6 linked regions of the Sus scrofa genome follow. The protein of the gene in region 1 interacts with the protein of each later gene in a pairwise test. Links are inferred from orthologs where the notes say so. Each region holds a gene or a part of one and is shown in the gene's direction. Other genes may lie near its edges. The genes, in order: TBC1D22B, HSD17B14, FXR2, VPS52, DEUP1 and CDR2.

What was found.
Region 2: the proteins of TBC1D22B (region 1) and HSD17B14 interact in binary tests that used the Homo sapiens proteins (3 or more experiments, as listed by UniProt). The link is inferred for Sus scrofa from reciprocal best matches to the Homo sapiens genes TBC1D22B and HSD17B14.
Region 3: the proteins of TBC1D22B (region 1) and FXR2 interact in binary tests that used the Homo sapiens proteins (3 or more experiments, as listed by UniProt). The link is inferred for Sus scrofa from reciprocal best matches to the Homo sapiens genes TBC1D22B and FXR2.
Region 4: the proteins of TBC1D22B (region 1) and VPS52 interact in binary tests that used the Homo sapiens proteins (3 or more experiments, as listed by UniProt). The link is inferred for Sus scrofa from reciprocal best matches to the Homo sapiens genes TBC1D22B and VPS52.
Region 5: the proteins of TBC1D22B (region 1) and DEUP1 interact in binary tests that used the Homo sapiens proteins (3 or more experiments, as listed by UniProt). The link is inferred for Sus scrofa from reciprocal best matches to the Homo sapiens genes TBC1D22B and DEUP1.
Region 6: the proteins of TBC1D22B (region 1) and CDR2 interact in binary tests that used the Homo sapiens proteins (3 or more experiments, as listed by UniProt). The link is inferred for Sus scrofa from reciprocal best matches to the Homo sapiens genes TBC1D22B and CDR2.

Annotation. Positions count from the first base shown.
Region 1 is NC_010449.5:32,866,142-32,870,759, forward strand, and holds part of TBC1D22B (TBC1 domain family member 22B), read left to right. Parts: intron 1-967; coding exon 968-1,275; intron 1,276-3,854; coding exon 3,855-4,034; intron 4,035-4,582; coding exon 4,583-4,618. UniProt on the Homo sapiens protein: May act as a GTPase-activating protein for Rab family protein(s).
Region 2 is NC_010448.4:54,140,548-54,145,716, reverse strand, and holds the start of HSD17B14 (17-beta-hydroxysteroid dehydrogenase 14), read left to right. Parts: upstream 1-1,573; 5' UTR 1,574-1,746; intron 1,747-2,106; 5' UTR 2,107-2,184; coding exon 2,185-2,272; intron 2,273-2,795; coding exon 2,796-2,834; intron 2,835-3,027; coding exon 3,028-3,110; intron 3,111-3,647; coding exon 3,648-3,729; intron 3,730-5,169. UniProt on the Homo sapiens protein: Catalyzes the NAD(+)-dependent oxidation of L-fucose, yielding L-fucono-1,5-lactone, which rapidly converts spontaneously to L-fucone-1,4-lactone. Can also act on D-arabinose and L-galactose, with lower catalytic efficiency. Does not use NADPH.
Region 3 is NC_010454.4:52,885,520-52,890,137, reverse strand, and holds the end of FXR2 (fragile X mental retardation syndrome-related protein 2), read left to right. Parts: coding exon 1-62; intron 63-256; coding exon 257-335; intron 336-848; coding exon 849-958; intron 959-1,169; coding exon 1,170-1,256; intron 1,257-1,554; coding exon 1,555-1,777; intron 1,778-2,244; coding exon 2,245-2,442; intron 2,443-2,535; coding exon 2,536-2,736; intron 2,737-2,834; coding exon 2,835-2,930; intron 2,931-3,061; coding exon 3,062-3,162; intron 3,163-3,507; coding exon 3,508-3,603; 3' UTR 3,604-4,206; downstream 4,207-4,618. UniProt on the Homo sapiens protein: mRNA-binding protein that acts as a regulator of mRNAs translation and/or stability, and which is required for adult hippocampal neurogenesis. Specifically binds to AU-rich elements (AREs) in the 3'-UTR of target mRNAs.
Region 4 is NC_010449.5:29,632,037-29,636,654, reverse strand, and holds part of VPS52 (vacuolar protein sorting-associated protein 52 homolog), read left to right. Parts: intron 1-326; coding exon 327-394; exon of another isoform or gene 395-505; coding exon of another isoform or gene 506-676; coding exon 677-852; intron 853-1,241; coding exon 1,242-1,392; intron 1,393-1,666; coding exon 1,667-1,767; intron 1,768-1,883; coding exon 1,884-2,016; intron 2,017-2,123; coding exon 2,124-2,181; intron 2,182-2,517; coding exon 2,518-2,651; intron 2,652-3,254; coding exon 3,255-3,410; intron 3,411-3,835; coding exon 3,836-3,954; intron 3,955-4,220; coding exon 4,221-4,344; intron 4,345-4,618. UniProt on the Homo sapiens protein: Acts as a component of the GARP complex that is involved in retrograde transport from early and late endosomes to the trans-Golgi network (TGN).
Region 5 is NC_010451.4:25,816,992-25,821,609, forward strand, and holds part of DEUP1 (deuterosome assembly protein 1), read left to right. Parts: intron 1-416; coding exon 417-588; intron 589-2,179; coding exon 2,180-2,275; intron 2,276-4,618. UniProt on the Homo sapiens protein: Key structural component of the deuterosome, a structure that promotes de novo centriole amplification in multiciliated cells.
Region 6 is NC_010445.4:23,794,641-23,799,904, forward strand, and holds the start of CDR2 (cerebellar degeneration-related protein 2), read left to right. Parts: upstream 1-2,162; 5' UTR 2,163-2,448; coding exon 2,449-2,527; intron 2,528-5,264.

The DNA of each region.
Region 1 (4,618 bases):
GCAAGGGGTCCAATCGGAGCTGTTGCTGCCAGCCTACACCACAGCCACAGCAACTCGGGATCCGAGCCATGTCTACGACCTACACCACAGCTCACGGCAACACCGGATCCTTAACCCACTGAGCGAGGCCAGGGATCGAACCCGCAACCTCATGGTTCCTCGTCAGATTCATTAACCACTGCGCCACGACAGGAACTCCTTTTTTTTTTTTTTTTTTTTGTCTTTATGCCGTGGCTTTGTTAAACAAAAGAGTGGCACCAAAGTCGTATCTCTCCTCGAGGGCAACAGGACCTCATCAGAGTAAACAGGGAACAGCTTGTTCATGGTGGAACTCAATGCTTACGAACACATAGGGGCTACCTAATATGATCTCTTGTTCTACCAGTAGTTGATGTCCTACTCAAAAAAAAAAAAAAAGTTTATGTTGCTGTAACAGATGAATTCTGAAATCTCAGTGAACCGGAACGCAAAGGCTTACTTCTTGCTCCCCTTGCTCATGCCACTTGTCCAGGGGAGAGTCAGGTGGGTGTGGAGGGCAGGCTCTGCTCCCCATAGTCACTCTTTTTTCCAGCTGAGGGAGGCACCACCCTCTGGAGCCCCTCCAGTGATCACAGTAGAGGAGAGCTTCTGGAGAACTCACACCTGTTCTGTCCCTTGGCTTGGAAGTGACTGCCTCACTTCTCTCCTCAGCGCACTGGCCAGAACCAATCATACAGGCTCACCTGAGCGCAAGGGACTGGGAGGAGTAGAAGGGCACGCGGACTCTTTGGAGAGCACGGTGTCTTAGTTTCGTCTGTCTCTGCAGCATAGGGCTGGCCTGGGTGAGGAATAGATGTGGATATTTTGTGTTTGAAGAAGGTAATGAGTGTGCATGAGACAGTTTGTGATGCTATTGATATTATATTAAGCACTTGATGTTAAGATGTGTCAGACCATTCCCTTGGTAACGGTGTCTCCTTTCTTAAAGCTTCATTAAAGAGCGGTCAAAAGTCAACACGGTTCCTCTGAAGAGTAAGAAGGCTTCCAGTTTTCATGAGTTTGCCCGGAACACCAGCGATGCTTGGGACATTGGCGATGATGAGGAAGAGGACTTTTCCTCCCCTGCTTTCCAAACTGTGAACTCAAAAGTTGCTTTGGCAACTGCCGCCCAAGTGCTAGAAAACCACAGCAAGCTGAGGGTGAAACCAGAACGGTCCCAGTCCACAACATCCGATGTTCCGGCCAGCTACAAGGTCATAAAGTCCAGCAGTGATGCTCAGCTGTCCAGAAATTCCAGTAAGTTCGTCCTGCTCCCCTCCATAGGTTCCACCTTTTCAGCAGAGTAGATTTTAAGTAAAACCAATTTTTCTTTAGAACATCCCTCAGATCTTGCATTGGATGATAAGTAAGCAAGCTCTGGCCTGAGAGGTGATGTCAGGGAACCTAACTGGTCATGAGCTGGCCTTGTTTCTCCCACCCCCACCCAAATGGCTGCCTGGCTCTGGGACCTGGGGCTTCACCTCCTGACACCCACCGTTGCCTGCCATTCTCTTCTTCCTTTCCCTGCGGTGGGGTCCAAACTTTTGTGGTTCGATTGCTTCGCATTGTTTTAGTCCTGGTCAGGTTGAAGAATACCCATGAAATGCAGTTCAAGTTGTTAGTGGCTGAATTTCATACATGTTTGGCTCTGTTGGTTGACCTCCTCAGCTGTGGAGAACAACCACCAGCATTCAGGTTGTCTTTTTCCTGTTCCTGAGGAACAGGGTCCCTGTGTCACAGCTCCCAGCCCACCAGGTTGGGTGGGGCAGGAGGAGGAGGTACCCCTTCTGCTTTTTCTCAGGAAACTGGCAGCAGTAACTGGCTGAGATGATGGTGGTTTTATCAGATGTTTGGGGTTGCTCGGTGTACTCTGTTAAATGTCAGAGTCTTAAATTATTGCTGTATTTAAGGTTGTCCTACAGGGTTTTATGAAAGCCAGTTATTCTGCGCTGAGAGGGAAGGGCCCTCGTCGGAGTGAAAGTTAAAGCAGCTGACTGGTAAAGGCTGAAAGGGACGCAGGAGGTCAGAGCCCTAGAGTGTGTCCCGGCTCACGTTGTGAGAGAGCTGCTTTTACAGTTTTGGACTGAGGCTGTGGTCGTGAAATTAGGCTGTAAGACCCTTTCCGATCATTCCATAGTCCCTTTCCATCACCGATTTGGGCCCCACCTGCACGCTGTGCCCGTTGCAGGCATTCAGGGTCTGTTGACCATGTGGCCATAGCTATAGGCTACAAGAAGTGTCCTCACTCCATGTTTGAGGGTCTCCAGAGGGTCCTAGTATAAGGAAGACCCCACCATGGTCCCTAATGAGCTGCCCTTGTTCAGCCAGACCGCCCAGAACATTCCCGTTATAGGGCTTCTTCCTGTGGACACCTGTCTGTGACTCCTGACTCCGGAGGTGCAGGTCGGCCTCACTCTGTGGTGTGTGGTCTGCGTCTCCCAGGCCCCATGTAGCACCAGGGATCCAAGCCAAGTCCTATGTGGCTCTTGTTCCTGTTAACCTAGTTGTGCTGGCTGAGGAGTGTTCACTGTTTAATTCTTGCTGTGACTACTGCTTTTTAAGGCCCAAATGCCTAAAGAATATGAGTCACGAAAGGACAGTCATGAGTTTTGTTGGGAGTAGTAAAATACAGAAGGGTTTTAGAGTCAGAGCTAAGGTGCTGTCCCAGCTCTCCCCACAGGTTACTTACCTCTCTGAGCTGCAGTTTCCTCCTCTCTAAACCAGTGGGGAACTCCTACCAAGTCTTGTAAGGACCAAATGAGAGGTCATGTGTGGATATGACCAGCATGATTTTTTTTTTTTTTTTTTTAGGGCTGCACTCGCGGCACATGGAGGTTCCCAGGCTAGGGGTCCAGTTGGAGCTGTAGCCACCGGCCTTCGCCAGAGCCACAGCAGCATGGGATCCGAGCCACGTCTGTGACCTACACCACAGCTCACAGCAACACTGGATCCTTAACCCACTGAGCTAGGCCAGGGATTGAACCTGCGTCCTTATGATTCCTAGTCAGATTCATTAACCACTGAGCCACAACGGGAACTCCTAGCATGATTCTTTATGCATATTAAGCGTTCAGTAAATGTCAGTCCTCTGCTCATTTCTCTACCTGCCGTCTAGTTTAGAAGTTTCCAAACCAGACATAGAGTTCAGCTTGAGTCTGTGTTCCTGTTATTTCAATCACATCCCGGCAGAATTAAAAGCTGGCTTTTTTTGGTGAGAAGTGTAGGCGTGCAGAGGAACCGCAGCCACTCAGAGCGGGCCTGCCCCTGGCCAGAGCCTCTGGCCTGGTGTGCAGGGTACATGGTGGGCCAAGAACAGGTGAGAGTTGTGCCAGATGTTGAGCATCTCTGCCCTTGGGGCAGCCGCCTGGGGCGAGCAGCTGCCTCCGTGTGCTGCAGTGTGCTCCACCGTGTCCTTCTTTTCCATGCGCTCTGTGATGTGTGAACGGAAGGCCAGCCCTGCCTTTGACTGCATTGCCCCAAAGAAAAGTTCCAGGTTAGGGTAGAAAGAAAATGATTCATTTTCCCCCGAAGTCACCAAAAACATAGTCAAAGTTGCTACAGCCGCTGTGGTCTCCATTGACACACGAGGCACCTTGGTGTGGACGAGAAAGGGCTCTGACCAACTGCTTCCCTTTCACCCTCTACGAGTCAGCTGCTTTAACGTTCACTCCACTCAGGCCCTGGGCAGGCAAGTGGAGCTGGCTGGGTTTCCATCCCCAGCTGCCCCACATGAGCCCCCTCGGGCAGCGCAGAGCCCGTGCTGAACTGTCAGGTGTGGGGTCTCCCGATCGCCACCTGCACCCAGCCTACTCTCCTTCTCTATCACATTCTCCCAGGTGACACGTGCCTGAGGAACCCACTCCACAAACAGCAGTCACTCCCTCTCCGACCCATCATCCCCCTCGTTGCCCGGATCTCAGACCAGAACGCCTCTGGGGCACCCCCGATGACTGTCCGGGAGAAAACCCGCCTAGAAAAATTCCGCCAGCTTCTCTCCAGCCACAACACTGACTTGGGTGAGTCCCCATGAGCCTCAGGCAGGCCAGGACCTCTTGGTGACTGGAATTCTCAGAGACCTGGAAGCTACTGCTCTTTATTCTTCCCTCTTTTACTTTTCCAGCATCTCCTGATCTGGTGCCCATTGAAGTGACATGCAGGTATTAAGTCAGAAATGTGTTACTAGAAATTAGGGGCCAAGTTAGGTGGGACTGGATTCTGTGGCCGGTAGACCATAGAGTGACGACTCTGGCTTGGGTCTCCCTCCCTCAAGGCGACGCTTACTGAAATCCACACCCATTGGTCTTTCTCTTCCCTCCGACTCTCATCTGTGAGCTGACTGGTCACTACTGCAGAACCGTGTCCTTGGCACCTGCCACTCAGGGCTGCTCTCTGGGGCTTTTTCCCTGTGCTTGTCGGTAGCTGGTGGTGGTGGTGGCGGTGCTGCTGGTGATGGCGGCGATGGTCTTACTGGGACAGTGGGAGGCACCAGGCAGTGCTGGCTAAGGCTTGTTTTGGGGCATTTGTGAGAAGGGCCACATCCAACAAAGCCATTGTCTGTTTGCAGATGAGCTGAGGAAGTGTAGCTGGCCCGGGGTTCCCA
Region 2 (5,169 bases), on another chromosome or scaffold:
GGGTTCGGTCCCTGCCCTTGCTCAGTGGGTTAACGATCCGGCGTTGCCGTGAGCTGTGGTGTAGGTTGCAGACGCGGCTCGGATCCCGCGTGGCTGTGGCTCTGGCGTAGGCCGGTGGCTACAGCTCTGATTCAACCCCTAGCCTGGGAACCTCCATATGCCGCGGGAGCGGCCCAAGAAATAGCAACAACAACAACAACAACAACAAAAAGACAAAAGACAAAAAAGACAAAAAAAAAAAAAAAAAGACATTTGCCATGTTTGGGGGGGGGCAATTTTCTCTCTTCGCTAAGCTCCTTCACTTCATCCTCAAAATGAGGACGTGAGGGCTTCCTGGGGGAGGAATTCTAATGCTCCAATTCCTTTGCAGCCTGCCCTGGGACACTCAGGAGCCAGAAATGGCTCAGAAGCTCTGGGTCCTGGAGCAGGTAAGGAATTGGAGATCCAAACTAGAAGCAAGAAAGTCAACAAAAGGGTGAGGAGTAGCATTAAGTATTAATGTCTCCTGAGTACTCTTGAGTACCAGGGTATGGATGGCAGAACATTTCAGAGACGCTTGAATTCCTGGGGAATGAGAAAGCCCTAGTTCACAGCGGTTCCACCGTTGCTGTCAAACTCTGCTCCTCTGTCGGGAAGTTTTCGGGCAATTGGACTACAGATCCCATAATGCACGCAGACTTAAAAAGAGGGTCTCGCCCTGTTCAAAATCCTTTAGAGCCATATGCTAGGGACTACAACTCCCAGAAGGACACGCTCTGCACCGTGGTCCTCACCTTACAGGCAAATTATTCAAGGCCACCCCTGCATCTTCTTTTTTCTAGTCCGAGGAACACGACCCCTTATTTACCAACATCTGAGGGTCACCGGGAGCGAGTTCTCAGCCTCTCTCAAGCCTTGGCTGCTGAGGCGTCACAGTGGCACCGAATGATGACAGGTGAGAATGGGCTGGGGACCTTGGGCTCCTGGGTGTTAGGGAAGAGGGAGTCTGGAGGCCCGGAATCCTAGGTCCTGGTGGGGAGGGGGGTCCGACGACCGCCAGAAACCCTCTGCCTTGGTAAAGAAAGAGCTGGACAGGGCTTGGGGGTTCCAGACCCCAGTAGGAGGGGACTGGATCCCAGGACTGCCGTGTCTGGGGAGGAGAGGACGGGGAGCCTGGACTCCTAGGTTTGAGAGGAAAGTCCTGGGTGTCGGGACTTCTGGGTCCCAAAGTTTGCCATTCTCGTTCTCCGTCCGTCCTCTCCAGGTGGCAGTTTGGACTCTCGAGGAGACCCTCTTCCCCCTGCGTCGCCACCTCCGTCAGATCCCACGCCCTGCGTGTCCTCGCCCCCAAGATCTCCTCCAGTGGCCAGTTCCCACTCCACGGGGTTCTCCCACCGAGGGACTGGGCGCGACGCAGGCCCGGCCTCTTGGGAGCCGACCTGGGATTCCGGGACCGCCCCTCCCGCGCTAACCCCAGACGAGGAGGCGTGGCCTCTGAGAGTCACGCTGCTACAGTCCAGCTTCTGACCCGCCCAAGCAGGGCAGCCAATCAGAGCTGGAGGGCGTGTCCCGGAGGTACTTCCGGGACAGATGGAGCCTCTTCCCTCACCTGAGGGCGTGATCTGGTCCCCTCCCGGTGGCCGAGGAGTGGCTACTTTGGCCAAAGTTTGATTTTCCCAATACTTGTCCAAATTTGGATTAAAACATTGAACTCTTAGTCGATAACTTTCTGTCTGTTTGGAGTTGTGACACCGGTGTCTCGAAGAGGTAGAGCTGGAGTGGTGAACTCCTGGGTCCCGCGGGAGGAGGGGACAGCGGACTCAGCTTTGTGTGTCAGAGGAACGGGGGGAGCTCGAGGTCTGGATTACTGAGTCTGAGGGAGGAGGGGGCCGGCGACCTGGATTCCTGGGTCTGAAGGAAGAGAGGACCCGGGACCTGGACTTTGGAGTCCAAGGTCCGGCAGAGGGGGCCGGACTCCAGGAATCCCGAGTTTGAGGGTTGGGGGACCGGCCTCCTGGGTCTGAGGGAGGAGGGGGCTGGGGCCAAGTTCCAGGCTTCTGGCTTTCCTGGCAACGCCCCCGGGGCCGGGCTTCAGGATCCAGCCCCTATTTATGGTTCGACCCCAAGACCTCACCGGACTTCAGAGGGGGATAGAAGCCTCGAGTGAGTGTGAGTGAGTGGCCGAAGGAGACCTTCTGACGCGGGATGGCAACGGGAACGCGCTATGCCGGGAAGGTGGTAATCGTGACGGGGGGCGGGCGCGGCATCGGAGCTGGGATCGTCCGAGCCTTCGGTGAGTGGGGTCTGGTCGGCTCTGAACAGTGGAGTCTGGGAGCGGAGGGACCCGGGGGCTAATGGGTGTGGGACGAAGTATCTTCTGTACTGGAATCTAGATTCTTGTCTCGTAAAATCCAATTTGCAAAGTTAACGAAGGGAAGGCAGAGGTGGCCTGGGGCCTGAGATTGCGGCGGATTTTCAAATGCCATTGACTCCCTTTCTCTGGGTCTCAGCTATTGCTACAGAATGGGGGGCCGGGGGTGGTGGTTGAAGGAATATGTCTTTTGGAGGTTTAGGGTTTACTCTAGAACCCAGGGATGGAGACTCAGGAGCCCCAGAAGTCACCTGGAATAGCCAAGGAGAAGGCTAGGCTTCTGCCTTTTGCCCTACGGGATCATCATGAGACTTTGGGGTCACGAGGGGAACAGAGCTGGGGCGGTGGTGGGGGGGGAACGGCCCTGTTCCGGGTGGCCACAGAGGGCAGCAGAGATCTTCACCAAGGTCTCTGCAGGGCTAACCTATTCCCTGTCTATTCGCAGTGGAAAGTGGCGCCCAGGTGGTGATCTGTGACAAAGACGGTGAGTGAGGGTCCCCCAGTCCTCAGCCCACTGCCTCCTCCCTTAGATTCAAGAAGAATACAGGCCCCAGCACCCTCCTCCCTCAGACCCAGGATCCAGCCCCAGCCCTCCTCCCTCAGACCCAGGATCCTGGGCCCCCAGCCCCTCCTCTCTGAGACCCAGGCTCCAGCCCCCAGCCCTTCTCTTCCTGCAGAGTCCACTGGTCGGACCCTGGAGCAGGAGCTGCCTGGGTCTGTCTTTGTCCTCTGTGACGTGACTCAAGAGGATGATGTGAAGGTGAGCGCGTAGTTTCTGTCCCTCCCCGTCCCCCTCAATCTCCAATCGTTCTCTCTCTCCCTTCACCCCGGGCTTTGCACATGCTATTCCCTCTACCCTTCCCCATCTCCTGGCTAAATGACACCTGCCCCCAGAGTCTCAGCTCAGTTTCATCGCAAAGCTTTCCTAACTCGGCTGGCCACGTCCTGTGTCTGCCGAGAAGATTCTCCTCTATCTCCCAGGCCTTCAAGGCCCCTGGTCCCTCCTGTCACATGATCTGGATCCAGTAAGAGTTCTCCTTCTCCCAGGGTTTCTCCCCTTCCCTTCATCTGCTCCCCCATCCCCCACCCTCCTGGGTCTCTGGAGTAGTGAGCTCAGGGTGTGTGTCACCAGCCCTCTGGTCTCTGGCACCCTGGCGTCCAGTCTCCTCATCTCCTGCCATGCCTGGCGATTTGGGGTCGGCCCCCACAATGTCCTGTCCCCTCCGCGGTGACTCCGCTTCTGCCACGTCTCACTTGGGGGAGCCCAGCAGGGGCGCCAATGCTGTTCACTCACAAGACAGCTTTCTCCTCAGACCCTCTTTCTGAGACCATCCGCCGCTTCGGCCGCCTGGACTGTGTGGTCAACAACGCCGGCTCCCGTGAGTTGTCAACCCGCTTCCCGGGCTCTGTCCCATTGCTGCTCTGTGTCCCCAGGCCTGTGCCGCCACCTCTTTATGCCTCAGTTTCTACATTTCTAAAATGACAATGACCACCACTGTCCTTGCCATTACAGGGTGTTGAGAGTATTAAATAGTGTAACTGGGCGGAGTTCCCGTCATGGTGCAGAGGAAATGAACCTGACTAGGAACCATGAGGTTGCGGGTTCAGTCCCTGGCCTTGCTCAGTGGGTTAAGGATCTGGCTGTGAGCTGTGGTGCAGATACGGCTCGGATCCCGTATTGCTGTGGCTGTGATGTAGGCCAGAGGCTGTAGCTCCGATTCGACCCCTAGCCTGGGAACCTCCATATGCCACGAGTGCGGCCCTAAAAAAAAAAAAAATTGTGTCACTGCTCAGCCCCCTAATCACCCTAACTGTCTTGGGCAGACAGCGTCCATCTTGCAGCCTCCGTTTTGGTTTGGTTTGGTTTGGTTTTGGCCATGGCATGCAGAAGTTCCAGGGTCAGGGATTGAATCTGCGCCACAGCAGCAATAATGCCAGGTCCTTAGTCTGCTGAGCCACCAGGGAACTCCAACCTCAGTTTCTTTAAAGTGAGGCGGATGGCTCTTTTTTTCTGTGACTGTGAACAAGTACGCTTGGCCCAGGGCTTACAGGTCTTGGTGTGGAGGCTTTGAAGGGAAATTGTCATCTGTTTCATGACTACCCTTTATAAGAATGCCTCACATTGGTAAAGCGAGGCTCAGCGAGGTGAACTGATTGGACTAAGGTCACACAGCAAGGCTGTGATGGAAAGATGCCTTTCTTACTGGCTGGACAACTTTGAGCAAATTGATTTACCCTCTCCGGGCTGCAGTTTCCTTCTCTTGTCAAGATATAAAGAGATGGCAGGTACTAGTTCATCCATTCTCTCTATGTCCTTTGGCCTTTCAATAGATGTTTACTGAGCATCCGCTATGCCCATGTTCTTTCCTAGGGACTGGGGATGTAGCGGTAAACAAAACAGACGAGGCATTTCTGTCCTCGTGGGATTCATGTTCTAGAGAAAGGAAACAGATAAAAAAAAAAGACAGCTATCTTTCATCTTCATTATTCACCCTCTGGCCCCAGGCAGGACTTGGGGCGCTTTCCCAGTATTCACGGACATGCGCAGAGAGGCTGACATCTGTGTGGCCTGTAGCACTTTTTCCCAGCTAAGGTCAGACAAGGTGATACTCTGCCCTCCTGGGTTCAATCCTCAAACAGAATTTCCCAGAGGGGGGAGATGAGAGAGGGCAGGGGCCGTTTGAAGAGCTCGCTCTGGGGCCAGTTGGATGGAATCCATCCCAGTGCTGACACCTGCGAGTGGGGCAGCCTGAGGCAAGTCACATGACATTCCTGAACCTGGTTTCCTCATTTGCAGAATAAATAAAATAGTCTTGCAG
Region 3 (4,618 bases), on another chromosome or scaffold:
TCCCTGGGGTGACTGCCATTGAATTGGGTGAAGAGACCTGCACTTTCCGCATCTATGGGGAGGTCAGCAAGAGATACCTGTCATCTCAGTCCCTTAGGGAATAGAGAGAAGAGAGTGTTAAACAGAAAGGAGACCTGTTGTGAGTCCCTCCCTGACTTTGGTGGCAGCATATTTTCCCCAAGATAGAAAGTGGCAGGAAGATCACTGTTTGGGATCCAGGTCCGCTGTTATTAGTGACGTTTCCCTCTTCTCTTAGACTCCCGAGGCGTGCCGACAGGCCCGGAGCTACCTTGAGTTTTCTGAGGACTCTGTGCAAGTACCCAGGAACCTGGTTGGTGAGTTGTAGACCTCTGTGTATGTAAGTATGTAAGAGAAATAGTGAGGGACCAGTTGTGAGAGTCATTGTTTTGTTTGTTTTTGTTTTTTAATTTTTGGCCATTCCCGTGGCATGCAGAAGTTCCTGAGCCAGGGATCAAACCCATGCCACAGGTATAACCAGAAGCACAGCAGTGACAATGCTGGATCCTTAATCTGCTGAGCCATGAGGGAACTCCAAGAGTCTTTAAATTGATTCTGGGCTTGGCGCCTCCCTGTGAACTTCCGGTTTTGCAAGGACAGAGCAAACAGTCTATAGTAGGAGTGACAAAAATGGGAGAACAGGTTTCTAGGGATTGTTATATTTTATCCTATGAAAATGCACCAGAAGCCTAGAAGCAGGAGAACTGTTAAACAGAATCATTATTAAAAAGCTGGAAGACTGTTTATCTTGTCTGTTTTTACTCTTCTTTCTTTCCTTTTTTTTTTTTTTTTTTTTTTTTAAAGGCCTAATTTCTCCTTTATCCATTTAGGCAAAGTGATTGGAAAGAATGGAAAAGTGATCCAGGAGATTGTGGATAAGTCTGGTGTGGTGAGGGTTCGAGTAGAAGGTGATAATGACAAGAAGAACCCCAGGGAGGAGGTATGGGTCAGCTATACCTAGAGACTGGTTTCTGAAAGTAGATGGGATCATTCTCTAAGCCATTCTCTGAGGGCTGGACTTTCTAGGGGTTGGGGCACCGGGACTTTGACTTCCCCTAGTAGACGTAGAGCCCAGAAAGATCTCATTCGGGTGGACTTACACTTCATTTAAGTCTCCTTCTAATCCGTCTGTCCTCCCCCCTGCTCTCCAGGGAATGGTTCCCTTCATATTTGTTGGCACCCGAGAGAATATCAGCAATGCTCAGGCTCTGCTGGAATATCACCTCTCCTACCTGCAGGTACCCAAGCCGGAAGCCTGGGAGAGGAAAGAGCCGCGTGTACAAGGGGACTAAGGATGCTGGTGGAAAAAGTTAAAAGTGATGCTTCCCAGTTTGTGTCTGAGTAGAACAGAAACCATGGGGTGGAAACTTGGGGCTGTGGGGCTGGATTCCAGAATTTTCTGTGTTAAGCCTTCTTGCATTCCTGAGAGTTCAGATATGTAGGGACAGTCAGGGCAGAGAAGCATGCAGAGAGGCTGTTGTTGAGCTTATACTTTTTTCTCCTTCCTTGTTTTTTCTCTGACTTCTGCCCAACCAGGAGGTGGAGCAGCTTCGCCTGGAGAGGCTGCAGATTGATGAACAGCTTCGGCAGATTGGGCTGGGCTTTCGCCCTCCTGGGAGTGGGCGGGGCAGCGGTGGCAGTGACAAGGCTGGATATACCACGGACGAGAGCTCTTCCTCCTCTCTCCACACCACACGAACCTATGGGGGCAGCTATGGGGGCCGGGGCCGGGGCCGGAGGACAGGCGGTCCTGCCTATGGTGAGCCGGCTATGGGAGAGGGAGGCAGGGCAGTGGTGGTGGGCGGGGGCAGAGGTCTGGGTGGAAGCTTGAGGAAAGGGTGATAGAGAAGATGAAAAAGTGGAGTTCCTGTTGTGTCTCTGGTAACGAACCCAACTAGTATCCATGAGGATGCGTGTTCAGTCCCTGGCCTTGCCCAGTGGGTTAAGGATCCGGTGTTGCCGTGACCTGTGGTGTAGGTTGCAGAGGCTTGGATCCCGAGTTGCTGTGGCCACGTAGGCAGCTGCAGCTCCAATTCGACCCTTAGCTTGGGAACTTCCGTATGCCGTGGGTGTAGCCCTAAAAAGACCAAAAAGAAAAAAAGGAAGAAAACAAAGTGATTGGCTGGAGGACTTAGGAGAGAGAGAGTCTTCAGCCTGGAGGCTGTGATGGATCCTGGGGTAGGGAGAGTGACCCTGATTGAACCTCACTGTGTTGGTGTTCGTCAGGCCCCAGCTCAGACCCATCTACAGCTTCTGAGACGGAGTCAGAGAAGAGGGAGGAGCTCAGCCGAGCTGGGCCCGGTGACAGGGATCCCCCGACTCGGTCGGAAGAAAGCCGGAGGCGGCCTGTTGGGGGCCGGGGTAGGGGACCCCCGCCTGCCCCCCGGCCCACCTCGAGATACAACTCTTCGTCTATCAGCTCAGGTACCAGAAGCAAACAGCTGGGTTTGTGAATGTGCGCCAAAAGGAAGGATGCGGTGATGGCACCTGACTCCTAACTCTTCTTCCTCTAACCAGTGCTGAAAGACCCAGACAGTAATCCCTACAGCCTACTGGACACATCTGAACCGGAGCCCCCAGTTGATTCAGAGCCAGGGGAACCCCCCCCAGCAAGTGCCAGGCGCCGCCGCTCCCGCCGCCGCCGCACTGATGAAGACAGGACTGTCATGGATGGAGGCCTAGAGTCTGACGGGCCCAGCATGACAGAGAATGGCCTGGGTAAGTAAGGGGTGTACCTGGGTCCGAAAAATTAGAACTGGGCAAGAATTGAGAGGTGGGAGATTGATGCACAGCTCTTGTTTTTCCCTGCCCCACAGAAGATGAGTCAAGACCCCAGCGTCGTAATCGGAGCCGCCGCCGCCGCAACCGTGGTAACCGGACTGATGGTTCTGTCAGTGGAGACCGTCAGCCAGGTCAGCCAGCCCTGGGGCTCAGCTCCTTCCTCAGAGAACAGGCTGCCTCCTAGCCTGTGAACTCTCGGGCTTGGGGTTCAGTGGTCGGGTACCTGGGTCCCTTCTGAAACTCGGTCCTCTGCCTTCCCCAGTGACTGTGGCTGACTATATCTCCCGAGCAGAGTCTCAGAGCCGCCAGCGGCCACCCCTGGAACGCACTAAACCTTCAGAGGATTCTCTTTCAGGACAGAAGGTAGGCAAGCAAGATGTAGTTCCCCCTACCTCCTTTTTTGTTGTTCTAGGGCAGGGGGGGCACAAGAAAACTGCCAAAGAAATCTCTTACTAAATTGCAGAGAAGGTGTGTCTGACGGAGTGTAGGCTGCATTTAGAATACTGGAAAGTTTCAGTAGAGGAGAAAGGAAAGTTGGGTTCTTATTTTCTGGATCTGAGTAAATGTGACTAGAGTCCCATCAGGTGAACCAACCCCCGGGTCAGCGGATGCCTGGCGCAAGGGGACGGTAGGGGCTTGTCGTTACCTGGATTTCTACTGACCCTTCTCTTTTCGTCCTCTCCGTTTTCTTTCCCATTTCCCCCTCAGGGTGACTCTGTCAGCAAGCTTCCTAAGGGCCCCTCAGAGAATGGGGAGCTCTCCGCCCCCCTGGAGTTGGGTAGTTTGGTGAATGGGGTTTCATAAACCCTCCAGCCCGCATCCCTCCCTTCTCCATCTCGCTTGCTGCCCAACACCATGGCCCTCACAGGCCCGACTGACCTGCGCTGGAGCTGCTCTTATCTAGGGGGGAGGGGGGTGGCACAGCAGCTTGGGTCCCCCCCAACCTCCAGGAGCTAGTGGAGGGGTGTGTAACAGGGTCATACCCCCTCCCTCTTGTCCACCCTACCCCCAGGGTAAGGGGAGCCTCTCTCCTTCCCCATCAGACTGGATGTGCCTTTATCCTCTAATGCCCCAATCTCTCTCTGAACACCCCCATTCTCCGCCTGTTGGTGCGGGGTGCTCCTTGACCCACCCAGATGTGACAGTTCAGGGGGGTTCCCCTGCTATCCCTACTCCCGTCCTGTACCCCCCATTTCTGGGGCCTCATCACTGTGGAAGACGGGGATAGTAAGGGTCTAAGTGGGTGGGAGGCATGGGGAAGGTTTTGGAGTAGAACCAGGGGTGTGTATGAAGGGGGGTGACAAGGTCCCCCAGGGGAGGGGGGACCAACCTTGTCTGGTGGATGAGAAGGCGTATTTATTTTTCACTGTACAGTATTTAAAAAGAGAATAAAAAAATCCAAATGGCTCTCTGGTTCTTGCGCCTTCCTGTGCCAGTTTGGTCTGTCTGTGTAGGAATGACCTGCCCTGGCCCCTGGCCCTCGTTTCCTCTATCTCCACACCTGATTTCTCTAGCATTCCAAAGATGGTCTCCTTCTGGGAATTTCTGACATTCTTCAGATCCCCAGGCCCAGGTACCCTCCTGGGTCTAGAGGAGAGTGGCTTGCTGCCTCTCCCCTCCCTCAGGTGTGCTGGTAGAGGGAGCTGGGCCACTCCTATACCCTGAGTCACGACGGCGGGCCAGGTAGAGCTGGAGCTCTTCCTGCCAGGAGCTGAGAGCCAAGGCAGGCTGCTTAATCGGATTACCTGAGGCCTGGGGCTTGGGCTGGGCCTTGGGCAGAGTGGGGAGCAGGGTTCCCTCGCCCACAGCCCTGAGACCT
Region 4 (4,618 bases), about 3.2 Mb from region 1:
GAAGTAGCAAAAAGACCAAAAAAAAAAAAAAAAAAAAAAAGGATCCAGTGTTGCTGTGAGCTGTGGCCTAGGTCGAAAATGCAATTTGGATCTGGTGTTTCTGTGGCTGTGGCCGGCAGCTGTAGCTCCGACTCTACCCCTAGCCTGGGAACTTCCATATGCTGTGGGTGCGGCCCTAAAAAAGAAGAAAAAAAAAAGGAGTATTTTGTGGGGCATGGTGCTGACAGCCCCGCCACAGCTGCCCTCCATCAGCTAAGAGAGAAGGAGAGGTCCTGCTGGTCCAAGGAGCTCTATCTGCACAGTAAGGCCTTGACTTTTGTGGTCAGATATCCAAGAAAGTGAGAACATAGCATCTCTGCACAATCAGATCACAGCCTGCGATGCTGTCCTTGAGGTTAATAACCCTGACCTGGGACCCCTGATAACCCTGAACCCAGGTCATGGTCTCTGGTACCATTCTCTAGGTCATTAGCCTCAGGTGGGGACCATTTGAGTTGCCATCAGGATGATCTCAGCAGCCTTTTTTATTTGTTGCTGCTGCCGTGATGAATGCTATTTGCCAGGGACTTTTGGGGTACCTCTTCCCTCAGCACCCACTACCCTCATGGACTTGGGTGATTCCCTCATCCCGTCCCAACCCAATGGCAATTCAGCAACACTTCTGCCTTCCCCCCAGCGCATGGAGCAAATGTTGGGAGCTTTTCAGAGTGACCTCAGCTCCATCAGCTCTGAGATCCGGACGCTGCAGGAACAGTCAGGAGCCATGAACATTAGGCTTCGAAACCGCCAGGCTGTCCGTGGGAAGCTCGGGGAGCTTGTCGATGGTCTGGTGGTGCCCTCTGCTCTGGTCACGTGAGTCACCAGTTTGAATGGTCATGATGTCAACAGCAAGTAGATGAGCTGGAGTGACCTGCCCTGCTTATCTCGTGGGTCTTCCGGCTCCAGGTCGTCAAGTTCCTTTCAGAAACTGATGAGTGGGTTGACAACTCTTTCTAGCCTTGACATGTGCTTTAGGCATCAAAGATTAGGAATCATCCAGGGTCAGGCATGTAGTGAGGGGGTCCAAGGCTTGTGGGTGGTGGAGGTGTGTGTGTCCAGGAACAGGAAACTTGGTACACATGTGCCCTGACTCTCTGATATAGCGTAAGAAGGGAGAGGAGATGGGCTGGATGGAAGGGGTGTGGTTAGGGCCTAGCTATGTCTGGATCTCCTAACCCATCCCATCCCTCTCTGCTTCCCAGGGCAATTCTGGAGGCGCCAGTGACAGAGCCCCGGTTCCTGGAACAGCTGCAGGAGCTGGATGCCAAGGCAGCTGCAGTCCGGGAGCAGGAGGCTAGAGGCACAGCGGCCTGTGCAGATGTCAGGGGCGTGCTGGACCGGCTCCGGGTCAAGGTGGTGCATGGGGGTGGATTGTCCAGACTTCCTGAACCAGCGTCCCTGAGACCTTCACCCTGGGTCTCCCGTAGCCTGTCCCCGAAAACCTTGCCCTGCCTTTATTTGGCAGGGCACATCCTCACCTCTCTGGGTTCCCTAAGGGTCTTAAATATGCAAGAGATATTCTCTGCTGTTTCTCCTCCTGTGTTCAGCATTCATTACATCCCTCAGTGCCTCCCAAACAGTGAGAAGGTTGCAGCCTCACACCCTGTGTTTGGTCCTCCGTGTCCAGGCGGTAACAAAGATCCGAGAGTTCATCCTTCAGAAGATCTATTCCTTCAGGAAACCAATGACCAACTATCAGATCCCCCAAACGGCCCTACTGAAGTACAGGTGGCCACCTGAACGAAAGACCGTCTTGGGGGGAGGGGGGGACTCCCAGCTTTTGCGCAGCACGCGTGGTGTCTGGTGGTGCAGGTGACGGGGCTGACCCGTCCCTGCCACTCCAGGTTCTTCTATCAGTTCCTGCTGGGCAATGAGCGGGCCACGGCCAAGGAGGTCAGGGACGAATACGTGGAGACGCTGAGCAAGATGTACCTGTCTTACTACCGCTCCTACCTGGGGCGGCTCATGAAGGTGCAGGTGAGGCCAGGAGAAAGGCGGCCCCTGCCCTGGCTCAGAGCCGAGAGCCCTTTCTTGTTGCACTCTGGAAAGGGTTGGGTACCAGGGCTCCTTTCTCTTTTCTTTAGTATGAGGAAGTCGCTGAGAAGGATGATCTGATGGGCGTGGAGGACACAGCAAAGAAAGATATCCTGCAGCTGAGGACCGCTCCTGCTGGGCCTGGGGCGGGCGGGGCTTCTGGGTCCAGCCTCTGGGGCTCTGCTGCTCACCTCTGGGAGCGTGATAAAAGCTATGACTTTCTCCCTCAAGAAAATGCGCAAATCACTTTGATGTGTTGTTTTGCATGTCATGTCAGGGGTGGAGAGGCTCCCTGGGGCCCATTTGCAGACATCCGTTGAAGTGGGGCCCTGGTCCTGGGGGATGCTGAGGCTGTCTGGCTGCCAGGGCCCAATGGAGTTCCCAAGGCTTTGATCTTCCATCACTGCAGTGACAGTACTGTATTCCTTGATTGTGACCCTGCACGCTTCTTCTCAAAGCCGTCCCTCCGCAGCAGGAACACCATTTTCACCCTGGGGACCCGTGGCTCCGTCATCTCGCCCACTGAACTGGAAGCCCCCATCCTTGTGCCGCACACAGCGCAGCGGGGAGAACAGAGGGTAGGAGGAGGAGGAGGCAGACCCCTGAGTGAATCCCCCGGCCAGTCACCGGGTCAGGAGGCAGGCCTGGGGGTGGGGGCAGGAGCAGCAGCAGCGGCAGGCGGGGGGTGGGGGGTGCTCTCCTCCTGTGCCCCCACCTCTTCAGTCCCCATTCAGGATGCCCTCTCGAAGCCTGGACTCGGGTTAGAGGGGAGTGCCTCCTGTGCTCTCCTTGCCCAGCTTTCCTGGTCTTTCAGCCACGTCAACCCTTCTCTCTCCCCTCTTTTTCCCTCCCCTCCTAGTACCCTTTTTTTTTTTTTTTTTTGTCTTTTTTGCTATTTCTTGGGCCGCTCCCGCGGCATATGGAGATTCCCAGGCTAGGGGTCTAATCGGAGCTGTAGCCACCAGCCTACACCAGAGCCACAGCCACGCGGGATCCGAGCCGAGTCTGCAACCTGCACAGCTCACGGCAACGCCGGATCGCCAACCCACTGAGCGAGGGCAGGGATCGAACCCGCAACCTCATGGTTCCTAGTCGGATTCATTAACCACTGTGCCACGACGGGAACTCCTTTTTTTTTTTTTATTTTATTTTTTTAAAATTTAATTTAATTTTTTTTCTAGTACCCTTTTGAGGCACTCTTCCGCAGCCAGCACTATGCCCTCCTGGACAACTCCTGCCGAGAATATCTTTTCATCTGCGAGTTCTTCGTGGTGTCTGGCCCGGCTGCACACGACCTCTTCCACGCTGTCATGGGCCGCACCCTCAGCATGACGCTGGTAAGTGCCCTGGCTCCCCTGCTCTCTGCCCTCCAGGTCCTCCTTACTCATCACTGAGGTCAGGGCTCTGGACAGACTGCAACCAGATGCCCTCTTTCTAAAGCTGTGTGACTCCCCATGGAACCACCACAGCTTGGGGTCTCCCAGAACACCCCTGCCGCAGACCCACACCAGGCAATAGCACCTGAAAACTCAGGGGCCCTTAAACCTTGGTGTTCAGCCCTGAATTGTGCTGTGATGGGCCTGTGACCACAGATCTGGTGAGCAAGGCAGAGGATCGGTGGGCAGGGAAGGAGGGAGCATTTTCCTTTTAGATCGTCCCCCCCCCCACATCCCCAGAGGAGCCCGTGCATTTGTCTGTAGCCACTTGAATGACAGAGTCCCAAACACAATCCTCCAATCCCCTTCCTGTTCCTAAATCACAGAAGCACCTGGAGTCTTACCTGGCCGACTGCTACGATGCCATAGCGGTTTTTCTCTGTATCCATATTGTTCTCCGGTTCCGAAACATTGCAGCAAAGAGGGATGTCCCCGCCCTGGACAGGTGCTGAATTCTGGTTCTCGACGCCCCCCCCCACCAGCCTTGAGCTCTTGGTCTCCTACACACCTGCCCTGACCCTTGGGCTCCTAGTGGCCTCATCCCATTGGCCCTGTCCCTGTGTGTCTGCTGGGAAGCAGTGCTCTTGCTTCCAGACCCAGCTTTCACACCCTCCTGCCCCTGTGCCGGTCAGGGTGCCCGCACACACCCCAACCCCACCTCCCCACCCCTGTGCTCCTTGCTGCTATCTCTGATTCTGGCGAAGCCCACAGGTACTGGGAACAGGTGCTTGCCTTGCTGTGGCCGCGGTTTGAGCTGATCCTGGAGATGAACGTCCAGAGCGTCCGGAGCACTGACCCCCAGCGCCTCGGGGGGCTGGACACTCGGCCTCACTATGTGAGGGGGGGCGAGGGTAACTGGTTTGGGAAGCAGGGCTCCACGCTTGGCCATGGGGTTGCCCAGGGTCATGGTCATGGTGCAGCATATGCAGCTTCACTGGGTGAGAAGCAGCGAGGAGTATGATTAGACTGGGTTGGAATGGGACACACACGGTGGTGGGGAGGGATCCGAGACGGGAGTCACCCAGAGGCTGCTTGACCAGCTTCAAGGGCTTCCAGGGGCTTGTTGGTTGGGCCAGGGCACAGGTAGGATTTTTTTCTCCTGCCTTCTG
Region 5 (4,618 bases), on another chromosome or scaffold:
TTTGTCTCTTCTAGGGCCACACCTGTGGCATATGGAAGTTCCCAGTCTAGGGGTTTAATCAGAGCTCAACCCACCGGCCTACACCACAGCCACAGCAATGCGGGATCCAAGCCACATCTGCCACCTACACCATAGCTCACGGCAATGCTGGATCCTTAACCCACTGAGCAAGGCCAGGGATTGAACTTGCAACCTCGTGGTTCCTAGTTAGATTTGTTAACCGCTGAGTCACGATGGGAACTCCAGCTTCTAGTTTTAATTTAAAATGTTAACCTCTAGTTTTGGGAATTCTTCCTATTTAAATAATTGAACAATTTGAGGAGATAATAGTCAAGCCATTCAAAGCAAGACCATAATTTTTCTTGTTCTCACATTTCACTCTTTCTAAATATATTTTGCTTTTCTGCAATTGCCAGAGCTTCTCCTTGTGAGGCCGAGCTTCAGGAATTAATGGAACAAATTGACATCATGGTAAGCAACAAAAAACTGGATTGGGAAAGGAAGATGCGGGCTCTGGAGACAAGATTAGATCTCCGGGATCAAGAGTTGGCAAATGCACAAACTTGTTTGGATCAGAAAGGTCAAGAGGTACTGCCTAGCTGTGTTAATGTCTCAGACTGATATAAATAGTATTCTATCAAAATAAGTTTTTCATTACACATACTTTTTATCAGGCATCAGCAACAGCATTTATGGCTTGAAATTCTGTTGCAGTGTGCTAAATGTGTTCTAGCAAATAAGTGGCAAGCAGGGGTTCCTTCTATGGTACAGTAGGTTAAGGATCCAGCATTGTCTCTTCAGCAATTCCAGTCACTGCTGAAGCATATTCAATCCCCTGCCTGGAGCAGTGGGTTAAGTATCTGGTGTTGCCGCAGCTATGGCATAGGTCACAGCGGCCACTGGGATTCGATCCCTGGAGAAGGAAATTCCATATACTGTGGGTGTGCCACCCCCCCCAAAAAAAGCGGCAAGCAGAGTAATTTGATGGTTAAATAAGATATAGTGTCAATGCCAGCGAGGAATGTAAACATTCAACATGTATGTGAAATAAATACTGTTTGCAAGCATAAATGTCACTATTTTGCTGCTGTAGAAAGAAAGAAGTAGTCGTCAAAGCTGTGTCTTTAGACAGGCAGAGTTGAGGAGTGTTTGCCTCTTCTCATCTGCTAGGAAACAATCTTTCCTGAAAGAAGTGGAAGTCAAGTCTTGATTGTAGGACAAGAGAGAGAAGGATTGAAGGGAGTGTGTGTATATTTGGGCACCCACTTGGGAGGAGTGCCTGGGCCCTGGTGGACCTAACCAGGGCCCAGGAGGTTGTTTGTGGCCAAGCCGGTGATGGTAGAATGAGGTCTGAGCGCTCTCAGACCTGCAGCGGACTTGAGGAAAGCCCTACGCTTCACCTGAGGTGGGCGTTCATGTCTGTGGATTTTTCTTTGGGGCGAGGCATGAGAGACGTCTTTACTGACCATATGCTAATAACCCAAACATCAACAGTCAACTCGTTCAGCAGTCTTTTTTCTACCTCTACCACCCTGTCAGTGGAACTTAGTTTTTGTCATGGTTAATAACTAAGTTATTGTCTGGCCTCGTTAACTGAGTTATCAGTAGAGGCAGGTCATCAGACCTGGCACATGTGAGGGACTATTTTCTCACCTTTACACCTGTTACAACACAGATGTGCAAACAGGGGCCTTGCCTGTTTTTTAAGCGGACAAATTCTGTAAGCCAAATCCCAAAGAACTCCTCTTAGACATTTTGCTTTTTGTTATTATAAAAATGTAACTATTGTTCCACAGTACCTCTAAAACAGAGCTCCTATTGAAGGCAGTGGGGCCCAAAATAAAGGCCGAAGTATGTTGGCAGGGGTTCTGCCCGAGGGATGATGATAGGAGCCTCCCAAAAAGATAATGCAGAGTAAATTCTAAACCTTAATTTAAAATGTGGCAGTGAGAAAGATCTTTTGTCAAACATCCATAGTGTTCTGATGTGTACCCAGTGGAATAGTGCTAGCAATGCTCAGTTTTTGTGAATTTAATTATTAATAACTATTTTAAGAACCACAGTAAAAATATTCGTGGTTTGGTACAGCAGTTTTATTTGAATTGTACTCCTCTTTTGCACATTTTCTGATTTTTGTCAGGCAAAAATTAGAAAAAAATTAAATTTTATTCTTATGCAGGTGGGGTTACTTAGACAGAAGTTGGACAGTTTGGAAAAGTGTAACTTAGCAATGACTCAGAATTATGAAGGACAACTTCAAACCCTAAAAGCTCAAGTAAGGAGACTTACTACAATTTAATATAAAATGTTTTGGTATATGGTTTGATTTATAAAATTGTGTTAATTGTATTAAAATGAATTATTTTTAATACAGGCAAACATTCTTGTATTTCAATGCTAGGTCATATATTTGACCCTGTCTTTCATTGTTTAATGTGTATTGATTTTGTCTCTTTCATTAGATTGCCAGCTCTGCATCCCTTTAACTGTTGACTCAGTGCTAGGCTAATGGCTTTCTATTTATCAAATGATTTGTTGATTAATTATGTCATGATAATTAGCTATGTGAACAACAACAACAAAATATTATCTTTTGTGGTCTCTATTCCCTTTCTTCTATGGCAATTTAAAATATAGAGATTTTCTCTCATGAAATAGATAATTCAAAGAACATAACTTTATATTATTGCCAAAATTCTTTAGTGTTTTGTTATTGGTAGTCTGTTTCCTAAACGAGGGAGCTTTTGCATATGTGATGATAGGGATACTGATTTCTTTCTGATGTGTCCCTGTACTATACTCCCACGGTGCTGGGAAGCAAAAGGTCTTCTCTTTCTTACCACAGATGAGATGTAGGGAAGTAATCATCTGAGCATCTCAGGTCTAGTAGATGCTGTATTCTTACTTAACTTAGTGACTTTTGGGAAATATGGTTTGATTATGAAATTTTACTTTACAACCAACCTTTTTTGGAGTGCAGATATTTCACAAATGATCTTAAAGGAGCCCACAGTAATTGAAGCGCCTCCTTAAGCACCTTTTCAGGGAGGTGATCAGCCATTACTATATGAATTGAAACATTCGATGCCACTTAATGGGTACCGTCTTACAAGACTAGCTCTTAAGTCTACCTGGGCATTTTGTCTGTCATTTAAATAGCTGCTGCCAGATGGTAACTTGACTTATGAAACTTTACGTGGTTTTTCCTAGGTAAGACTAAACATTTAACACTTAAGTCAGTCAACCTTGCTTTTTCTATAAAGGTGAAGCTCTAATGTAGCAACATAAATATTGAATCATTGTAGTTGTTCAGTGTAAACAAAGAGCTCATGATCTGGAATAAGTTTTTAAAAATACAGAAATCTAGATAAAAAAAAGTTAAGTACCATCTCTAAATTATATTTAACTAGTTTAGTTGCATCTTACTAAATCTTTACATTCTGGGTTTTTTGTTTTTCATGTCTGTGGTTAAAAAGTTTGGGGCTTGTTTATCATCACTGTGAGCATTCACTTAATATATGAACCCTTGCCATTTGATGCTTTGCAGCTCTATTTTATTACTTGGCTACTGGCTAGTCAACAAATATTTTTATGGCCATTTCACCAAAATGTGTTCTGTGCACTAACACTGAGAGCTTAGGAAGTGCTTTTTACTCCTCCTGGATATTCACAGTGCATATTAGCATATCACAAGCTGTGAGAAGTCGGCTTTAAAAGCATTCATTTAGCCTTTTTACTCCATCATTCTTCAAACATATTTGACCATGGAAAGTATTTTTTAAACTAAAACCAACAAATATTGTAGCAGTTGCAGTGTAAACACTGTAAACAGGTGTTTCATAGAATACACTGTAGAAGAGCTACATTGTTGAGAGAACAGCTGTTTGTGCTTCCACTGCAATTTTCTGCTTCTCTTTTCTTCTCTGATTAAAAGGAAGGAAGGATGAGAGTTGGAGAGGGAGAGCAAAAGAGGAGGAAGAGGAAAGGAGGGGAAAAGAGAGGAAAAGAAAAGTACTGTGTGTTTGACTTGCTTTGCACAGCAGCTAGGAATATGTCATTTTTCTAACCAGAAAATGGTATCTTGTGGCAGACACAGTTTTGTTGTGGCTAACTTACTCTGATGCTTCCTTCTTTGAAATTCCTCATTTATTTACAGCTTCATTTTCCTAAAATATCTTCAGGATAGGTTTTATCCTATTCTTGCCTTGAATAATTCAACTCTGTCAAAACTTTCTTGTAGATGGAGTGTCCGTTGTGGCACAGTGGTTAACAAATCTGACTAGGAACCATGAGGTTGTGGGTTCGATCCCTGGCCTTGCTCAGTGGGTTAAGGACCTAGCGTTGCCATGAGCTGTGGTGTAGGTTGCAGACACGGCTCAGATCCCACGTTGCTGTGGCTGTGGTGTAGGCCGGCAGCTGCCGGCGGCTACAATTCTGATTAGACCCCTAGCCTGGAAACCTCCATACGCCACGGGAGCAACCCTAGAAAAGGCAAAAAGACAAAAAAAAAAAAAAAACTTTCTTGTAGAAATTGCTTCCTTTTTAAAAATGGGGTATTTTCCTTTCCTTCTAACAATTATTAAAACTGTAATTATAAATATATATATACTTCTGGAAA
Region 6 (5,264 bases), on another chromosome or scaffold:
ATTGCTTTTCAGCTATGACTCTACAAGAATGAGGGAGACCCCTCCAAAGCTAGGCTTTTAGCATTAAAAACTAATTTTCTTGTTCAAGGCAATTTTTGTTCAAGCTTTTTCAGGTGAGAGGGAAGTTTCCCCAAATAGTGTCCTTAAAAAGAACCTATAGGGTTCCCTGGTGGCCTCGGTTTTGTCACAGCTGTGGTTAGGTTGGATCCCAGGCCCCAGAACCTCCACGTGCTGAGGTGTGGCCAAGAAGAAAAAACGAAACAACCCACTAATACAAAAAGGCTGAGTTTATTGTTGTTATATTTGGGTTTGGGGGGGGATTGTATTGGGGTTTTCTTGCCGTGCCATTTTAAATCATCAGTAACTTTTATCTCCGGATCATTCTTGAATTTCATTGTTGTTATGTTTCTTGTTGATTTTTGAAGACTCTAAAAGAGCATTTCGATGCACTTTCCCATTTGATTTGGAGTCAAAAACAAGCTTCTGCCATGGAGGAAAAAGTCAGCACTTTCAATCTTGCAGATTAGAGACTAAAAAACTGTCTCTTAGCGATCAGAGACATGTTTCTGCCCCTTCAGCTTCCACAAATCACCATCCACAAATCCTAAATCCAATCATCTCTCTTTCCAAAGAGCTCTATCCATAGTGACTTTTAAATTAAGATAGTTGAGTTTGGAGTTCCTGCGGTGGCTCAGTTGTTAACGAATCTCATTAGCAACCATGAGGACACAGGTTTGATCCCTGGCCTCCCTCAGGGAGTTAAGTATCCAGCATTGCCATCAGCTGTGTAGATCGAAGCTACAGCTCCGATTTGACCCCCAGCCTGGGAACCTCCATATGCCATGGGTGCAGCCCTAAAAAGACAAAATAAATAAATAAATTTTTTAGAAAGCAAAGAAAAAAAAAAAAGATAGTTGGGTGTGATTATTTTCTTTCGGCTAGGGACTAATTTCTCTACCAGAATATTGACAATTAGAGCAGTACAGGCTAGACTAGCTAGACGCACAACCTAGCTTCTGTCTTAGCCTAGCAATAAAAAATTTATCAGTAACATTTTACCTTTTAGCATATTTGGCTTCAGAAGAAAAGAATTTATCAGTTTACCATTTCTGCTTTTATTACTTCTAACACCGTAAGTCCTTCTACGTTTATTAGTGCGCATTCTACTTTAAGAGACAGCACCGTTGTCTGTCAGCTGTGCATTACCGTTACATCAAGGCTGAGAACACTGACCTTCTGGTCTGTAACCCTATTTTAAAATGTCTGTGTTTTGTCTGCACAATGCTGGTGAAATCCACAACCTACCGGCAGTTATTTATTTTGCTATTGTCTTTGGAGACGAGTGTTCACTGCTCTGCTGGCCATCTAGTGCTTCGACTGCATTCTCTGCAGGTGTTAACATTATGACTCCAGAGTCCTGTGATCTGTGAATCTTTTTAAAAGTATGCAAAAATGCCTGCAATTTCTTTCTTTCTTTTTTTTTTAAGGCTAAGTTACCGTCAACTGCACCGGTTCCTGTTTGTCCCCAGATACTCAAGTGGGTTTGAGGCTCACCGTTTCAGGGGGAGTGAGTACAATCCTCAGCTGATTGTACTCAGATATCAAGGAGAAAATAGCTAACAGCCCTAAACTTTCGACCGACCCTCAATTTCTCTGCGTAGAGGAGACCAAATCTGGGCGTGAAAAGACCAGCAGAGGCCGGCGGGACAGCGGATCTCAGGATCCCGGAACCCTTCACGCCGCCTGCCAGCAACTGCCTTATGCTCCGAGGCCAGACTCCCGCCCCTCACGCCCACGCAGCCAGTCCACTGGCCAGCGCGCCCGACACCCACCACAGTGGCCGCTGAGGCCGCCACATCCACACCTGTGTAACGCGAATACGCCCAGTAGCTACTCAAAGCAGAGAGGGGCGGGACCTTCGGCCGCACCCCTTCCCCTTTTCCCGCCTTCTTTGTTTCCCCCGGAGTTCCCATTGGCTGCTTGCCCTTGAAACCCGGCGAACCGCGGGACTGCAGTGAGACGGGATTGGACGATGTCGCTGCCGCTCGGCCGACATCCCTCTCGCGATTGGCTGAGGCGCCGCCGGGGGTTTGAATCGCAGCCCAGATCGGGGAGGGTTCTGCCAAAGTGCCACGTTGGGCCGGGCTGCGGCGTGAGGAGCCGGCTCTGGGCGCCGGCCGGGGCGCTAGCGCCTGGGCGCTGGCCGTTGGGACTCTTTGAGCTGCGCGAGGCGAGTCGGAAAGCCGGTCCGAGGCTTGCGCTGCGAGCCGCCCCGCGGCGGCAGCGGCGGCTAGCTGTGGTCGGACTGCGCGGCAGAGCCAGGGCGGCGGCGCGTCCCGCCCGAGGGCGGCTCTGGCCGAGGGCGGAGGGGCCGGCGGAAAGCCCGGGGCAGCGGCTGAGGCGGGCCGGCGGCGGCGGGGGCCGCTGCCCCCGGAAGAGCCGGCCGAGATGCTGGCGGAAAACCTGGTGGAGGAGTTTGAGATGAAGGAGGACGAGCCGTGGTACGACCACCAGGACCTCCAGCAAGGTGAGGGCGCGGTCGCCTGGCAGGGCCTGGCCGGGGCGCTGCCGGCTCACGGCTTCTCCCGCCGCGAAACTTAAAAAGTTGCTTTTCCTCGGGGCCAACAGATGCCAAGTGCAGGGAAGGTCTGGCGCTCACCTGGTGTTGGGACTGTCGCGCCTGCCCATCCCGCCCCGGGGAACTGCGCTGCGCGGGACTCGGGCTTCTGCGCAGGTACCAATATCAGCATCACCATCATCACCCCTCCTGCTAGCTGGGCGCCAGGCACCGTTTGACGCGCTTTCCCCAGATTAACTGATTTAATCCCCATGGCATTACTCGGAGCAGAGAGGGGAGCCCTTGCTGGGCTCAGGGGCCCCTGCTGCCTCTCCGCCTCCGGGAGAAAACACAGTCGGTGCCAAGTGTGAGCTGCTGCAGGTGGCAGGAACCTTGTCTAGCCCTTTTCACACATTCGATGGGCACCATAACTCCGCGAGAGAGTAACTTGTGTTATCCCCATTTTCCAGATGGGCAAAGCGGAGACTAACGCTGCCAAGTGCCTTCCTCCAGATTAAGTGGGGGAGAACGTATTTATGAAGCCACACACTCAGACTGGGGAGTCGTCGTAGCCTCTGCCCAAACCTTATCTCTTCACCACCTGTTTTACGGCTTTTTCAGTTGCGGGAAAATTTTTGCTTGTGTTCACCAGATGCAAGGGACATGACTTGAGGGCACTTCAGCGGTATTCCCCTTCCTTCAATTTGCACCCTTGCTTTCTAGTTAAAAACAGGTGTTCGTTTAAAACAGGCCCTAGCCTGTCTTGGATTTCTTGTCTCCAGAGAGACACCTTAGAGGGGCCTTCACTTTGGAGCCAATGCCAGTTTTTTGCCTCTTAATAGCAGGGACTTGCAACTGGGGAAGCTGTTGGTGTGCCAGACGCTAACAGGCCCCTTCACACAGGTGCTCGCTCATTTCGTAGGGCAGTGCTATGGCAAAGAAGTACTGAGTACTGCTGTTGGGGGAGCTAGGGTTCCACTCCAAACTCCAAAGTAAACTTTCTCAGCCCTCATCCTGGATGCTGAATACTCCTCAGGAGTTGTGGGTTTTTTGTTTTTTGTTTTTTTGTTTTTTTCTCCAGGCCTCTTCTGTTTCAGCAATGCTGTGCACATCAGCTTTTTCAGCTCTAAACTGGCACAAAAAATTAACACCTCATGTAGTTGACTATTAAATGACCGTGATTGTTTGTTCATGCTAACCATTGAACTTGGGGGCTGGGGAATATGGGCTTAAATGACTCATACTTAGAAAAGGAACATAAGGAGCTCTTTGGGAGGGGGGAGATAATTTCTTACATCAGTATGGAGTGGACAGTCGCAGGAGTTCACCGTTATGCTTATATAGTCGAAGCTCTTCAGTGGCTGCAGTGCATGCCGTATTTGCCATCATATTCACAAGGTCCACAAGGCACATTTGTCTTACATTTTAACCTGTTTTCAGAATTCCCCCTAAGGGTTGATGGCCTAGTTTGATACTTTCTCCAGGATTTATGAGGCAACCACTGTGCACTTGCAGCATTCCCCTATAATACATTCCGCAGTTCATCCTGTAATCAAAGCTAAGTATTTTTTTACTGTGTTTAGAAGGCGTAGATCTGTACAGGCTGGTAGGTTGGTTGGTTGGTTGGTTTGAATCTAGCATAATACTTAGCAGGTAGTAGAAGCTCATCCCGACACTCAAACAAGATCCCTGTTTTCATGGCTCTCTTCTCTCAGGTGCCTTAGCCCACACTGCCCTTTCGCCTTGTGGGAGGTCGTTAGGAACAGCTGATTGTCATACTTCAGTCTGCTGAGAAGCAGATGCCACATTTTAGGGTGCGATGCAACACTCTTTAACCTCTGATCAAAACAAAGTCATCAGATGTTCAAGTTCCGTGAAACCCTAAAGGGCACAGGTCCAAACTTCCTCAGTGCCAGTTTGCGTTTGGAATTTGTTCGATGCTTTTCAAAGGACGTTTACATCTGTTACCACAGTGGACTTTGACATAACCCTCTATGTCATAACCAAGTGTGTGGGGCAGGAATAGATATGAAATTCCAATAGTCCCAACTGTGAATACGGCCTGGAGAAGAATGAAGGCTGCCATGTGAACAGAAGGATATCTTTGTTCCAATTTCAATAAGTTATATGTTAGAGAACTCCTAAACTTTCAGCTGATTTCTTTCCCCCACTGTTGTTTTTTGGTTTTTTTTCCCATGTTTAAGTTTTATTGCCGTATAGTCGATTTACAAGGCTGTGATCATTTCTGCTGCAAAAAAAGAGATTCAGTTATACATATACACACGTTTTCATTCTCTTTCAGATTCTTTTCCCACATAGATTAGTACGGAATATCAGGCAGAGTTCTCTGTGCTATCCGGCAGGTCCCCACTGGCCAATCAGTCCATATACCTCTGTGTGCATATGCCAATCCCAAACCCCCAGTCCATCCCTCTCACGGATTTTTTTAATTTGTTAATTTCTCAAAGCTTTTTGTTATCTGCTCTGTGTCATCTAGGCAGTGGAGCCACAGAGTCTGTCCACACAGTAGTGTAGACAGGATCCTACTCATGAAGTGGACCATCTAGGAATCTCTTGAGTAGAGATGCTGCTGCCTCCTGGTGTGTGCCCACCACACAGCCTGGCAGGGTGACCCCTCCCTAGATACTTGCTGCTGAATAAAGTTTGGGAGCAGGTCTGACGTCTTCAACAGTTGGAGAAGCAGATC